2 linked regions of the Lonchura striata genome follow. The protein of the gene in region 1 purifies or fractionates together with the protein of each later gene. This does not show direct contact. Links are inferred from orthologs where the notes say so. Each region holds a gene or a part of one and is shown on either strand. Other genes may lie near its edges.

Region 1 (7,217 bases):
ATGGAACATGACACTATCTGTAGACATTCTAGCAGAGATTGAACTAGAAATCCCACAACAATTAGACAGTAGAAGTGAAAAAAAGATACAAAGTTGCTAGAAGAAGATAAGAATTCCTGAGGTTCCAGAAGGCACTGACTAGGAACATCAATGGATGCAGACAACACTGTCTAGAAAGTAGGCCTGCATCCTCACAAAAACTGTCTTCTCTGGTATCTGTCTGTATGGGAATGAACAAGATGGCATGTTTGCCAGTTCAACCCCAAAAGGAGGACGGAGCTGGGTTACAGGATTGGCCACTCACAGTGCCATCAATAGACAATCAGAACAGCAGCACACAACACCTACCCAGCATTCAGTATTTCTAGAGACCAACACATGTACAACAGCATACACTATTGCAGAAGTGACCTGCCAGCAAGGGAGATTGTGGCATTGTCTAAAAGTATTTAGATGTTAAAGCCATCTAGGAGAAAGTACTGACAAGTATGAAAAATTGAACCTCTCATCAAGTCAGACTTTAAGAATTTTTCTCAAGTCCTAAGACAGAACACTGCAGAAACATGTTCAATTAAGCAGTTAACGCTGCAATAACAATTCTAAAGGATCTCTTTGAGATCTTCAGCCAAAATGATCATCAGAATAACACTGAGTTAGCCGATGGAGGTCCAGTTCACGTAAAATCAAATGGCCACGAGGCAAAGATAAACAATGAAAAGCATCCCAAGATCTACAGGACTCACAGCCCAAAGCAAATGAGTTACTAGTCCAAATCACAATCCAAGTTTCTGCAGCTCCATTACATCACTGCCTCTAAAAATCTAAAGCTTTTGAGTTCTAAGTTCACAAACTAGTAGAAAGTCCAACTTGAAAAAGGTAGAAATCTCATTAATGGACTGAAATCGGGTAACTAATGTTCAGAGTAATGACCTGACCCTCATGAAACTCATACACCCAGAGCTTGTCATATAGTAAAAAGCCTCAGAACAGTTCCATTTGCCCTGAGAAAAACCTGAGACACTTACCTAATTCTGTTTTAATATTATCATCTACAGTAGCCAGCCTGTGACTCTGCTCAAAGCCGATTGCTCATCCCCCTGACCAAGTGAGCTAAGCAACAGATCACTGAATCCTGGCCTTTCTGAGGACAAGAATCTCTGTCTCTCTTAACCCAGGCTTCATCTGCTAAAAATCAGTGTCCAGTATCCCTGTGGAACTCATAAAGCACATCAACCTTCTCCCCCAAAGTCACCAGAAAAATCATTCTGGTGTGGTTTGTATAAACAACTCCCAGATTCAGTATATGCTTGTCAAGATGACTTGCGTACAGAGTGAATCTAGATTAGATGTGTTTTCCAACTTGACCAGCACCCTTCTTGCTCCCTCATGCTTAGCAGAAACACTGGTTGTCAAGAACTCTATTTAATTTGCCAACATTGAGTGCTGGAGATACTCAGCTACCTCTGACTTTCACATGTGTGTACATCTTTCTCCCTACCTGACAGCTTGCTACTTCCCCATTCATCATGTGATTAAATTTCATAATTATTTGAGACCATTTCCTTAAAAAACAAAAAAGAGGCAGAAAAAAATGTAACTGATCATCCTCTTTGAATTTTAAGGACCACTGGTTTGCTGTGACTCACACTATTTCACAACACAGAAAATAAACACATCTACGGATGCAAATTCACATCAGTTAAATTTCTACACTGTATAAAGCAGAAAGTTTCCCATTGCCATAACAACAAAATAGCTTCTTAAAAGCAGAAAGCTTAGCAGGACTGGGTCCTACAGCTTCTGAGACAGAAGCTGCCAAGTACTCAACAGCAAAAAATTTAGAGATTTTAAGTCTCCTTGAAAATTCAAGGCATTTCTAATCAGGTATGTATTTGATCAAATGCAGACTGAAATTTTAAAACCAAAGAACATTTCACAGGAATTACTTCGTAATGTGAAATGTTCTAGAATAACGCTTGACATGCAAGGTGGCTAATAAAATGCCTTTGACAGGGTTAAACAAATGACTAACACATCTTGAGGTGCCATTTATAACATTTTCTCCTACCAAATACATTTTCTCTTGTTTCTACCGCTTAATTTCTTCACTTCGCACAATAAAAATCAGCTGAAAAGTTTCATTTTTGCTTTTAGTTGGTTTCACTTTCTAAGTTGCCTGGAAGCAACGAAAAGTTTCTGTTTAGGTTGGGCGATATTCAGGGAGGGGGAAATCGGGAGTAAACCTGGCTGAAAGAATAATGCCTCCGGCTAGGAGTCGGCAAGATGATGACCGTGTTTTCGCGAAGACTTTTATCTACATAGAGACGCTCAATCCCCTTAGCTGGGCGTATGAGGGAACCTTTTACGGCTTAGGCGGAGGGCAACAATAACAACAACATCAACAGCGAGAAAGGGGTGTCGAGCTCCACCACTGCCTTCTCCTCCCCGCCTGCCACAGCCGGCTCAGCTGTTCTGGTCGCGCTCCGCATCTGCTTCTTTCTCCGGCTCAACCACCGCCTCCTCCCGCGGCCGCCGCGCCGCAGCCCGGCGCTGACAGCGGGCGGATCCCGCGCCCCGGCCGGCGGAGGCACCGCCGAGCGACCGAGGGGAGCGAGACACAAAGTTTCTTTCGCGGGGCTCTGTCGGTGGCGCCGGCTCCCGGTCCTCCCCGGCGGGGAGCGCCGCTCCTCAGGCACCGGGGCAGGCACCGGGACAGGCAGCGGCGCCGCCCCCGTCCCCTCGCACCCCTCCGGCCGCCCCGCGGAGGGGAAGGCGGCCGTTCGCCATCAGCGCCTACTCACCGCCATGGCCCCGCGGCTCTCCCGGCTAACGGTCCGCGCTCCGCCGCCAGCGGGCAGCGGCGCCGAGGCGGGCAGCGCCAGGGGGAGTTCCCGATGGCGCACTCGGGCAGGGGCGGCGCTTCCCCCACCCCTTGGCCCGCCCACTCGACGTACCTGCCCTCCGGCCGCCGCCGCTCCGCCGCCTCCTCCTGCCCTCCCGGCAGCTGTCACTGCCCTCCGCTCCCGCCGCCGCCCCCGCCCCGCCGCCGCAGCGCTACCCGCCACCTCGCCCGGCGGCGCGCGGCCGCCATCTTTGGGGAGGGCTGGGGGGGCCGCGAGGGGGCAGTTAGCTCTGGCGCGCAGTGCGCCTGCGCGGAGCGCTCCCGTGCGGGAGGGCGGGGGCGTGGGCCGGAGGAGGGGCGGGGTCAATGTGTGTGGGCGTGGCTGGGCGTGGGCTGTGTGGGGGCGTGGGCCGTGTGAGGGCGTGGGCCGTGTGAGGGCGTGGGCCGTGTGAGGGCGTGGCTGTCGGGGGGCGGGAAGGGGCCGGGGAGGGCTGTGGGGGTCTGTGCGGTCTGTGGGGTTTGTGGGGTCTGTGGGCTCGGGGCTGGGCTGTACCGGGGTCTGTGGGCTCGGGGGTCCGCCGTACCGGGGCCTCGACCTTAGCCTGTACCGGCGGCTGGGGTCAGCGCTTGCTTGTGTATGCCCTGCTTAGAAATAACAAAAACGTCTCTACATTATCAGCCCTCTGTTCAGCACCAACCCAAAACCAGCCCCATATTAACTCTACCCCAGCCACACCCAGCACATATTCCACCCCTTACCATAGCATTTATACCATGGCCAGACCTCATACTATTCAATACAACCTCACTAGCCACCACCCTTCTTCCCATACTTTGATAAAATACACAGATGTTATTCCATTAGTCGATGGGCCACCATTGCAAAATGTCCATAAGATGTTATTTGAGCTCATGTAGTCCATGACTTTGGGTTCCATCAGTTATGGTAATCACTTGGAATGGCAGAACTGTTTTGTGGAAGTGTTTTGGGCACCAAAGCCGCGTCACTGCTGCACTTGCACTGCTTCTTGTGCATTGTTTTACGTGGTTTCTGCAGTAGTAATTCCTGTAATATGCAGCTCAAGCCATGGGGTTTGCCCAGGCTGAGCTCATGCTGGGTGGAGTGAAGGGTTGCCTGTTTCCTGTACAGCCATTATCACAGTGAAAGTCAAAGGGCAGAGGCTGAGGAGGGCAGGACTGTGAACACCTGAGGTGTCCCCTGCCTCCTGCCCAAGCATGTAGTGTTTGCCATCAGAGAGGAAAGGGTAAGAAATGTGCTTTTCCTGGCACTTGTGCAGGGAGGAACTATCTTCCCTCAACACCTGCAATGTTCAGCTGGTGTCCTGAATGCTAATTTGTGATTATCCTTTGCTTAATGTTTGTCCTTTCTGTCATTATGGATCAAAATTATTTTACTAGTGTTTGGCTTAATGACCTTCTGCAGCAGTGGACCAAACCAAATGAAATGTTTTATAAAGTGGTTAATTTACCTTAAAGCTCTCTGTTATTAACTTACTAAGTTCCTATTTCTCCTGCATTTCAGCAGTGTTCATATAGTTTTGATAGCTTCATGGCAGGCAGAAAGTAGCTCCTATCAAGGGATGCACCAACCAATGTCTGGTCATCACCTGGCTTCTCACTACAAGCTCCCTTTCCCAAATGCAGAATTTGAATGGTGAATAGCATACTAGACTGTGATATCGCGGATCTCAAAAACTAGAGAGACTTAGGACTGATCAATATTTGGATGAGCTACCTCGTTAGATACTGCGGAAAATGCTGCTGGTGATTCATTCAGTGGCAGTCTTCTGTCTATGAGTCAGGGCTGAACAAATGCCACTGCACAGCATTAGTGGGCCGTTCCATTCAGGGGCATAAACTGGAGATTGTTGCCAGTTACAGCTGTTGGAAGATCACTGATTTTCCTGCCTTATTCCAGTTTCAGTATGGCTTTCCAGAGCTCTCCAGCAGTTTGGCAGAACACAGCAAAGGGTTTCCACAGTGTCAGGCACCACTCACTGGTGGCAATGGGGCCAAGAACAGCAGTGGCCATGGGCACCACTGTAGGCAGCCACAGATCCTGGCTTTGTGTCAGACTGTCCAGTTTCAACTGATGATGCAGCACCAATTTTATGTGCCCCACTGCTGAGAGCCCTGTGAGGGAGCGTCCTTCATTCCTCCTTCTGGCTTCCCACCCATTAATTCCTTCATTCCTCCTCCTGGCTTCCCAGGGCTACCTCCCCTGCTCTTCCCTTGCAGATAAAATCAAGAAATATGTGCAGTGTTTTGGTTGTATGGATGCAAACCTAGAGCTGGGACAGGGGATAGATGAGAGTGTTTAAGGCTCTTCTCCCCATGTAAACTCTGGTCCTGGTGGTGTGTAAGTTTGCACTACATGGCACAGTCCTTCACTTTTTTCTTCCTTTCTAGCTCACAGGTGTATAAATAAGTGTATATGAAATTCCATTTTCTGCTGGAAACCTGGTTAAAGTTACCTAGAAATAATTCTGAATAGTACTAAAAGTGGATGGAAGGCATTGGGAACCAGCATAAAGACCTCTTTGTCTCTCTTTAGGGGCTTGTGAATAAATGGATTTTTCTAAACCTAAACTAAACTAGATTGGAATTATTTACAAACCTAAGTTGCCTACATGGTTCTCAGGTATTTCTAGATGATTGACCAAATGCTCTTGCTTTCATTCACTCCAGAACTTCCCAGGAGGACTCATTCAACACAATTTATTTCAATTCAACAGAATTTCTTTAAAGAAATGTACCAGATACACATCCAAATGATGAACATTTATGAAATTGATATTGTAGCTAAATCCAGCAGAGGAGAGGTGAGGAGAGAAATACAAAAATACAGTCTGTATCATAATGCCCTCCTTCTCTGGCTCTCACTTTTTCAGTCAAAGTTACTGTCTTCAGACAACTGAGAAGAATTGGTGTTACAATGGTCATTATTTCAGGTTTGCTTCGAGTTGTATTTATCCAGCAAAACATGTAGCAATCTGGTGCTGGGACCAGAACTGAGCAACTCATGATAGTTTTGAGACCTACATCATTTGATCCAATCCTCCTATTCTCTCCATCCTTGCAAGAAGCCTCATCCCTGGAAACATTTAAGTCTAGGTTGGAAGGAGCTCTAATAAGCCTGATCTAGTTGAAGATGTCCCTGCTTATTGCAGGGGAGTGGATTAGATCTTTAAAGATCCCTTCAAAACCAAGTTATTCTATGAAGCATTCAATATTAAATGGGGAAAATCTCCAGTTCTAAAGTTAAAATAACGTGGCTTAAGTTGGAGAGTTCAGCAACTTTCTCACACAGCATGCACCTCCATAGTGAACAACCCATTTTCACATTTAGCTGAATTTCTAATCACCTCTAGCACCTCTGCCAGGAGGGACAATGGTGACCTCTCTCCGTAGTGGCAGCTCTGCTGCTGTCACAGCTTGCTGAGCCTGTAAGAGCAGTGGTAGCCAAATGTAGATCAGCAGACCTGCAGTCAGACTCTACAGTGTCTTTACGAACAGGTTTGTCATCTAAACCTCACCTGAAGACATTAGTGGGAACATTTACCCGGGCCTCACAGGCCAGAGGAGAGCAGCTTGGATGGACTGTGGGCTATGAAAGCCGTGAGTTCGGTAGCGCCGCTGCCTTCTACCAGATAAGTAGCATCAGTGCAATATACAACAATTAAAGAAATACAGCTGGTGCTTATTTTCTAAAACAAGTAACTAATGTATGACTGTAACTCCCTGAAAGTAAACTTGCTGTATATAATAGCAAGGTGAATGAGGTTTAATTTTGGTGTGTTGGCAAAAAAAAAAAAAATGCAGAAAGTTTTATGATTACAAAATTGAGTTACTGATCCCTCGGTGTCATCGGGCATACTGTGTCTTCACCTGAGCTGCAAAGCATTCTTTTATTTGTTCAAATTACTTTCAAAGAGGCTGCCAATCAGTATAAACTATTTGCTGGTTTCTGATTTGCATGAAGGCTTTTGAACTGTAAAAAATCCAACTTTAATATCAGAATGTTTTATCAAAATAAAGGTTTGCTGACAGCAGTTTAATGCTAGGTATGATTCACCTCGATGGTAAGATATGTGTTTGTGGGAAAAGGAAATCTCAGATTTAATTGATATGATCAGCTGTGTTTTTACATAATTTGGTGAACTAGTAAAACTCAAAACACATTGAGGAGTGGCATATAATAAAATTCCATGTCAAGCAACTGGCAAAACCATGTCTATAACTGGTTTTTGACACTTGTTGTAGAGTAAGTCTTGTATGATATATTTTACCATGCTTTTCTCAAAACACTGAGGGACACAAATCCACAACTTGTGGATTTGTCTTCTTTACCTGC
Region 2 (5,798 bases), about 34 Mb from region 1:
TATTCACACTGTTACCAGCTTTACAAAGACACAAAGTGAAAGCAACCCAAGAATAACATGAGCCCAGTCTTGGCACAATTAGTTCAAGAGAAATTTGGCCAGAACTTGGACTGAGGAAGAATAATGAGGTTAGGAAATAGAAAGCAGTGTTTTGCTGCTACTCCAAGAGCAGTTTCTGCTTAAGGCATTTTACAGTCAATTAACCAACCCAGTTTACTGAATACTCCACTTAGATCCCATGTTAACAGCCACTTCCAGAGCTAGTACAAAGTTTCTTAACTGCTCCTCTTAACATTTGGCTGCTGGTTCTCTCCTCCCGATGAAGAGGTAATAAGGCTTTTTGGCATTTGTAGAGATACTCAAAGATTCATAGCAGGTCACCTGGCTGCATAATCCCACTGCACACCAGGAAATGGACAGTCTGATACAGTCAAGTTTCCATTAGAGAACATCCAACTGACACTTATTACTTGTCTATAATTACACTTGTGGCTTTCAGTAGCCTCCAGCCAGGAGCACTCGAGGGAAGCGATCAATTGCAAGGCAACCAAGTGGGGTAGGATTGGCTGTACAGCACAGGGGCACCAGCAAGGTAGTAGTTGCTGAAGTTTGCATCGCTGACATAAGGTGCTGGCTGGTAATAACAGGTCACATTAGTGACATTAGGGATGACATTCTGTTCTGCCAGCACCTTGAGTGCCAGCAGAGAAATCAAATTGAGAGTCTGCCTTCGCTCGTGCCCCATGAGGCAGACGGTGCTCTCATTCACCACCCTGCGCAGAATCATGAGGTAGTCGTACTTGCTCCTCTCCTCTTTGGAGAAGTGGTTCTGCAGGTAGGTCTCCAGCTTGCGCTGCTGATCCAGGATGTCTGGGAAGTCAATGAAGAATCGGGAGCACATGTAGCGCTCCAGCGTTTTGATCTCGCGCTTATCCATGGGCCGGAAGTCTCGTACTAAGAGGTTACTGTACTTCAGCAGCCCACCACCTCTGATCTCTTCAGGATTTTTGGTAGCTATCAGCTTGTTCTGGAGGTGATCAAAAGCTGCTTCAAAGTCTCCGTACATGCTCTCCCCAATCACAGTTGGGTGGAAGTGCTCCGACATGGGGGTTTCCGAGTAGTCATAGTAAAAGAGCAGGGAGTCCAGAATGATCTGGAACGAGTCTACACTAAACTCAAATTGCCGCCGTATGCAGTCTACAAACTTAAGCTCCACATTTTTGCCATGCTTGTTGGAAAGTGATATCAAGCTCCAGCGGTCAGTCTCTGTGTACACTTTGACCAGCTTCTGGATGTAGGCTTCCTTCAGTGTTACAGAACTGATCTTCAGCTTGCTTACTCCTTCCGGCAGGAAATTCAAGAGGGAACGCAAGACCACGTCTCGAACTAACTGAAACTCTGCCTCACTTGGAAGAGAAACTTGAAAAATGAGATCCAGGTCTTTGCATCCCAGCCCATTATCCTTGACCAGGACGTGACCAGCTGCAGACCCATTCAGACGGACATCGTGGACCACAATGCCTGCTTCGCTCAGCCGGCTCCGGACCGTCTGAACAATGTCCTTCAGAGTTATCTGCAGCGTCGGGAAGTTCCCCCGCCCGTGGATGGGAACCACCTCTGTAAGAACCTCGTGCAGGCGGCTGACCTGCTCCCAGTTCAAGACACTGCAGGACATGGAGTCTGCTCTGCTACTTCCTTTGCATGCCATCTTTGGGCTTTTCTTCTCCAAAGAAACTGTATGGAGGTAGAATATAAAAAGAAAAAGACAAGTCAGAGTTTCTTTTTGTGCTTCCTAGATCTACTCCTAGGCTCTGTTTTTCTGTTCACTCGCACAGACACAAACTAGACAGAAATAACTCTATGTATTAATGACTACCAGCAATCCTTTCTTCTGAAATGAGACACAGCTTTACTATTGGTGCAGGCAAAAAAAAAAAAAATGGGTTGCCTTTGGGTTTGTTTTTTTTTTTGGTGAGGTAGAGTTAGTTCAGGAAAGTAGTTTGTGCCAAATGGAAATTACCAAAGATGACACAAACTAAGGCTAAAGTCCTCAGCAGCACCAGCAGAAGTGAGATGAGCTGCAAAGCACTTCAGAGAGTTAAGCTCTGAAGTTGTTTCATGATGCATATAAAGCTCAAACTGCTGTTTCCAACTAACACAACTGCAGAACACCCTCAGGTGTTAGTTTCAGAGCTTAGACATCCAGTCCACTGATAACTCTTAAATTATGTCAAAGATACAAGATTTCTTCCTTTACATAGAACACTTTCCTTTCTAAATGATCCAGCATCTATCACTCACAGGATAAAGGCCAAGTACAAGTTGCTCCTGCAAAAAGCTGCAGCTCTTGAACATCCTGGACAGAATTTCAGCTGCAAACTCGGGTAACAGCATTCAATAGGCACTCCAGTCTTTGAAGAAGGGTAAAGAGCTGCTTACAGAGACACTGCCTAACCAACTACCTTTCTGGAAATGTTCATACTTGTCCCAAGGTCTGCTCATTTATGAAGGGCAAACAAGCCTGTAAGATTTGCGATAAATTCAGATGAGGCATAAGAAGTTCATGTTTCTCTTTTAACATCTAGAATCTCACTAACCAGACTTGGTCACAGCCTTGTCTAAACACTTTAAGCACAAGAGAATGATCTGATTAGCTGTGACAAGATTCCTTAAGTCACTTGCCTATTGTAGCATGGAGATACTTACAGATGTTCTACAGTCATGCAACTCAAACTGGTGTTAAAACCCTTTTCTTTTTTTAAGTGTTCCAGGTTTCTGCGTAGCCAGGTGCTTCCTGACAGCTACAGACTAATTGAGGCTTCACCTTCTTCTGCCCCAAATACTCCTGAAGACTGCAGCTGCCAAGGTCAGACTAGTCAAACTTAAGAAAATTAACTCTTGCCTACCAAGAAGGAAAAACCAAGCCCTATAGTTTCCTGGCATGCAATAGCACAGTGCATGGAACATATTAAAGCAAGTTTCAAAGAACAACTATTGTCATCTCAGACATCCCCTTTTTTCAGCTTTTCATTTTTGAGCAACTCATTCGACCTGCCACCTCTTTGGATGAAGAGAGTCAAATCCCAGAGCAAGTAAACAGTGAGGTTAGAATCCCTCTAGGGAAGAAGCTTCTGTCCTCAAGCAGGAGCTGCTGCATTACAAACTGTTCTGCCATGGATCACATCAGCACCAGCAGGTATGAAACAAACCTCTGATTTGCAAGATGATTAATCTAGGACAAATCAAGTGGTTCTTTGAGCTTCATCTTTAATACTCCAACACAGCATAAACACAAACACATCAAACCTGCCAGCAGTTGCTCTCAGGCAACTGAGAGCACATTAAAGTATGTTTCCTTAGTGAACTCACTATATTTCTATTAAATCTCTCAGATCACTAAAGAACATAAGAGTCTTCCCACAACTTCTAACTGAAGCTGCAAATGCTTTCAGCTACTGCCTCTAAAACTATTCCCTCTCCTTCTTCAGATTTGTAGTCCTCTCTGCAGCCAAGAAACACACGCATCTCACCCAGTGACCAGAAAGGACCTGGACCAGCGCTTTCAACCACACCATACACACCTGGCTCTGTTTGGTGACCCTCACCTAGGAGGGTAATGCACATTGCTGCCCTTGGCGGGCAGAAGACAAAGTACTTCGTTTCCAGTTCAGTGGAGGATTTAAGTCTCAGGCTATCAACCTCCAAAACCTCCCACCCTCAAATCACTAGTGTTTGCCTACTCGGCAAGGTTTATGTTAGTGACAACAGATTCCTAGCGACTCCAGTGATTTTGGGATGCTAACAGCTCCCATGCCTCCTGCTTCACTGCCAGCCACTCCCTCCACAAGATCGGACACCTGAAGATACTCAGTCCTTAGGAAGAAAACCACTACGGAGGCAGGAAACACTAAATATCTTTAATACCGAGCATAAAGAGCATTGAATACATCACTCAAACCAGAAGCAAAAAAAGAGCGAGGACTACACACCTTCACCTTGGTCACGACGGGGTGCGTTACCCTGCAGCAGCAACTTTCTCCTATAAGACATATAATTTAACACAACACCCAAAAATTCCCCGGGCCTGTCCCGCGGAGCCCAGCGGCGCTGGGGACGGGAGCTGCGGCTCCCTCCGCCTCCAACACCCGCATCCACGACAGGAGCGCTGCCGAGCTCCTGCTCCCGGGAGAGCCCGCCCCGCAGAGGGGAGAGGAGCCCCGGCCCCGCCGCTCACCTCGGCCCCGCCGCTCGCCCCGAGCAAGCACGCCGGCCCCGCCGCTGCCCGCGACCGCCCTTTATGGCCCTGCAGGGCCGCCCCGCCCCGCCCGGCCCGGCCCGCCCGCCCCGCCCGGCCGGCGGGGGCGGCTCTGGCCGCGGTCCGGCCGCCGGCGCCGCGCCCGGGGAGCGCCGCGGCGCCCGGGCCGGGAGCGGCCGGGGGCGGCCGCCCGAGCGCTGGAGCCCCGCGAGCTCCGCGCACAGCGCCCAGCTGCCCAGCCCCACGTCAGTGCATACTTGTGTATAAAGTCTGTAGATAAATACAAACTTTTCAAAGGGCCCCTCCCTTCAGGAAGGACACTGCGGGGCTGGAGAGCCTCCAAAGAGCAACGTTGTTGGTGAAGGATCTGAGCACAAGTCCCACGATGAAAGGCTGAATGAGCTGGGGTTGTTCAGTCTGGAGAAAAGGACGGTCAGGGGAGACCTTATTGCTCTCTACAACTGCCTGAAAGGAGGATGTAGATGGGTGGTGATCAGTCCCTTCTTCCAAGCAACAGTGACAGATGACACAGTCCTAAGCTGTGGCAGGTTCAGGTTGGACATTAGGAAGAAATTTTTCACTGAAATGGAGATTAGACATTGGAATGGATTGCCCAGGGAGATGATGGAGTCACCATTTCTGGAGTTGTTTAAAGGAAGACTGGATATGAGACTCAGTTCCATTATCTAGTCAACATGGTAGTGTTTGGTCATAGGTTGGACTTGATGACTTCAGAGGCCTTTTCCAACCTAATTGGTTCTGTGAATCTGTGGGCTGACTGAAATACAACAGGGCTTTCCTGAAGGCACCTTATCCCAGACAGAAGAGCTGTTAGCAGAGATCCCAGACGTCCAACTCTGCCAAAGAGTTCTCTGTGGTGCCTAACTGGAAACAGCCAAACCAGGCACTCATCCAGAACCTGCAAGGATGGGCTCACAAGGATGTTGGAGCAGTGCTGAAACAGTGTGCTACCGGAAACTGCGGCTGATGGGCTGTGGGAGGCTCTGCGCACATAGACAAGGATGATGGAATGGCTGGACAGGAATCAATTTGGAGATGCAGTGTCATAAAAATCAGCTGGTGGTTAATAGCACAGGGTGCGAGATCATTCTGGGGGCAAAAGTTACAATTTCTGCTGAGAACATAATGTTTCATCCAATACAGGGGTATCTGCCTTTTGTTACGATAATCAGATCTCAATAGAAACGGGGCGGGGGGAATCAACACAACTTAGAACAGGCCAGAACATAATCCTAGCAGAAGTAAAAAAAGTACTTACAAAACAACGGAAAAAAAAAATCACCACTACATCTGTTATACTGTTTGGCCATACACAGTCAAGAAAGATGAATTAAAACCTGCACATATATGGAGAGGAGCTGGCCTTGAATGAGGAAATGGGAAAGCTCCTTTTTGCCTAGCAAATACAACAGACCTGCCTCGTTTCACCAAAAAAGCCAAAGCTGAACAGGAATAGGGATGGGTTAGATAATTATTTATTTTGCTCCAATATTGCCCACTGGGATAAATAACAGGAAACAAA

Evidence for each region.
Region 2: the proteins of FNDC3A (region 1) and TENT5C purify together in Homo sapiens (affinity purification with western blotting; 3 studies listed by BioGRID, with this or other methods). This does not show direct contact. The link is inferred for Lonchura striata from reciprocal best matches to the Homo sapiens genes FNDC3A and TENT5C.

Annotation. Positions count from the first base shown.
Region 1 is NC_134604.1:62,224,481-62,231,697, reverse strand, and holds the start of FNDC3A (fibronectin type-III domain-containing protein 3A), read right to left. Parts: upstream 3,064-7,217; 5' UTR 2,955-3,063; intron 2,911-2,954; exon of another isoform or gene 2,802-2,910; intron 1-2,801. UniProt on the Homo sapiens protein: Mediates spermatid-Sertoli adhesion during spermatogenesis.
Region 2 is NC_134604.1:28,335,461-28,341,258, reverse strand, and holds TENT5C (terminal nucleotidyltransferase 5C), read right to left. Parts: upstream 1,709-5,798; coding exon 533-1,708; downstream 1-532. UniProt on the Homo sapiens protein: Catalyzes the transfer of one adenosine molecule from an ATP to an mRNA poly(A) tail bearing a 3'-OH terminal group and enhances mRNA stability and gene expression.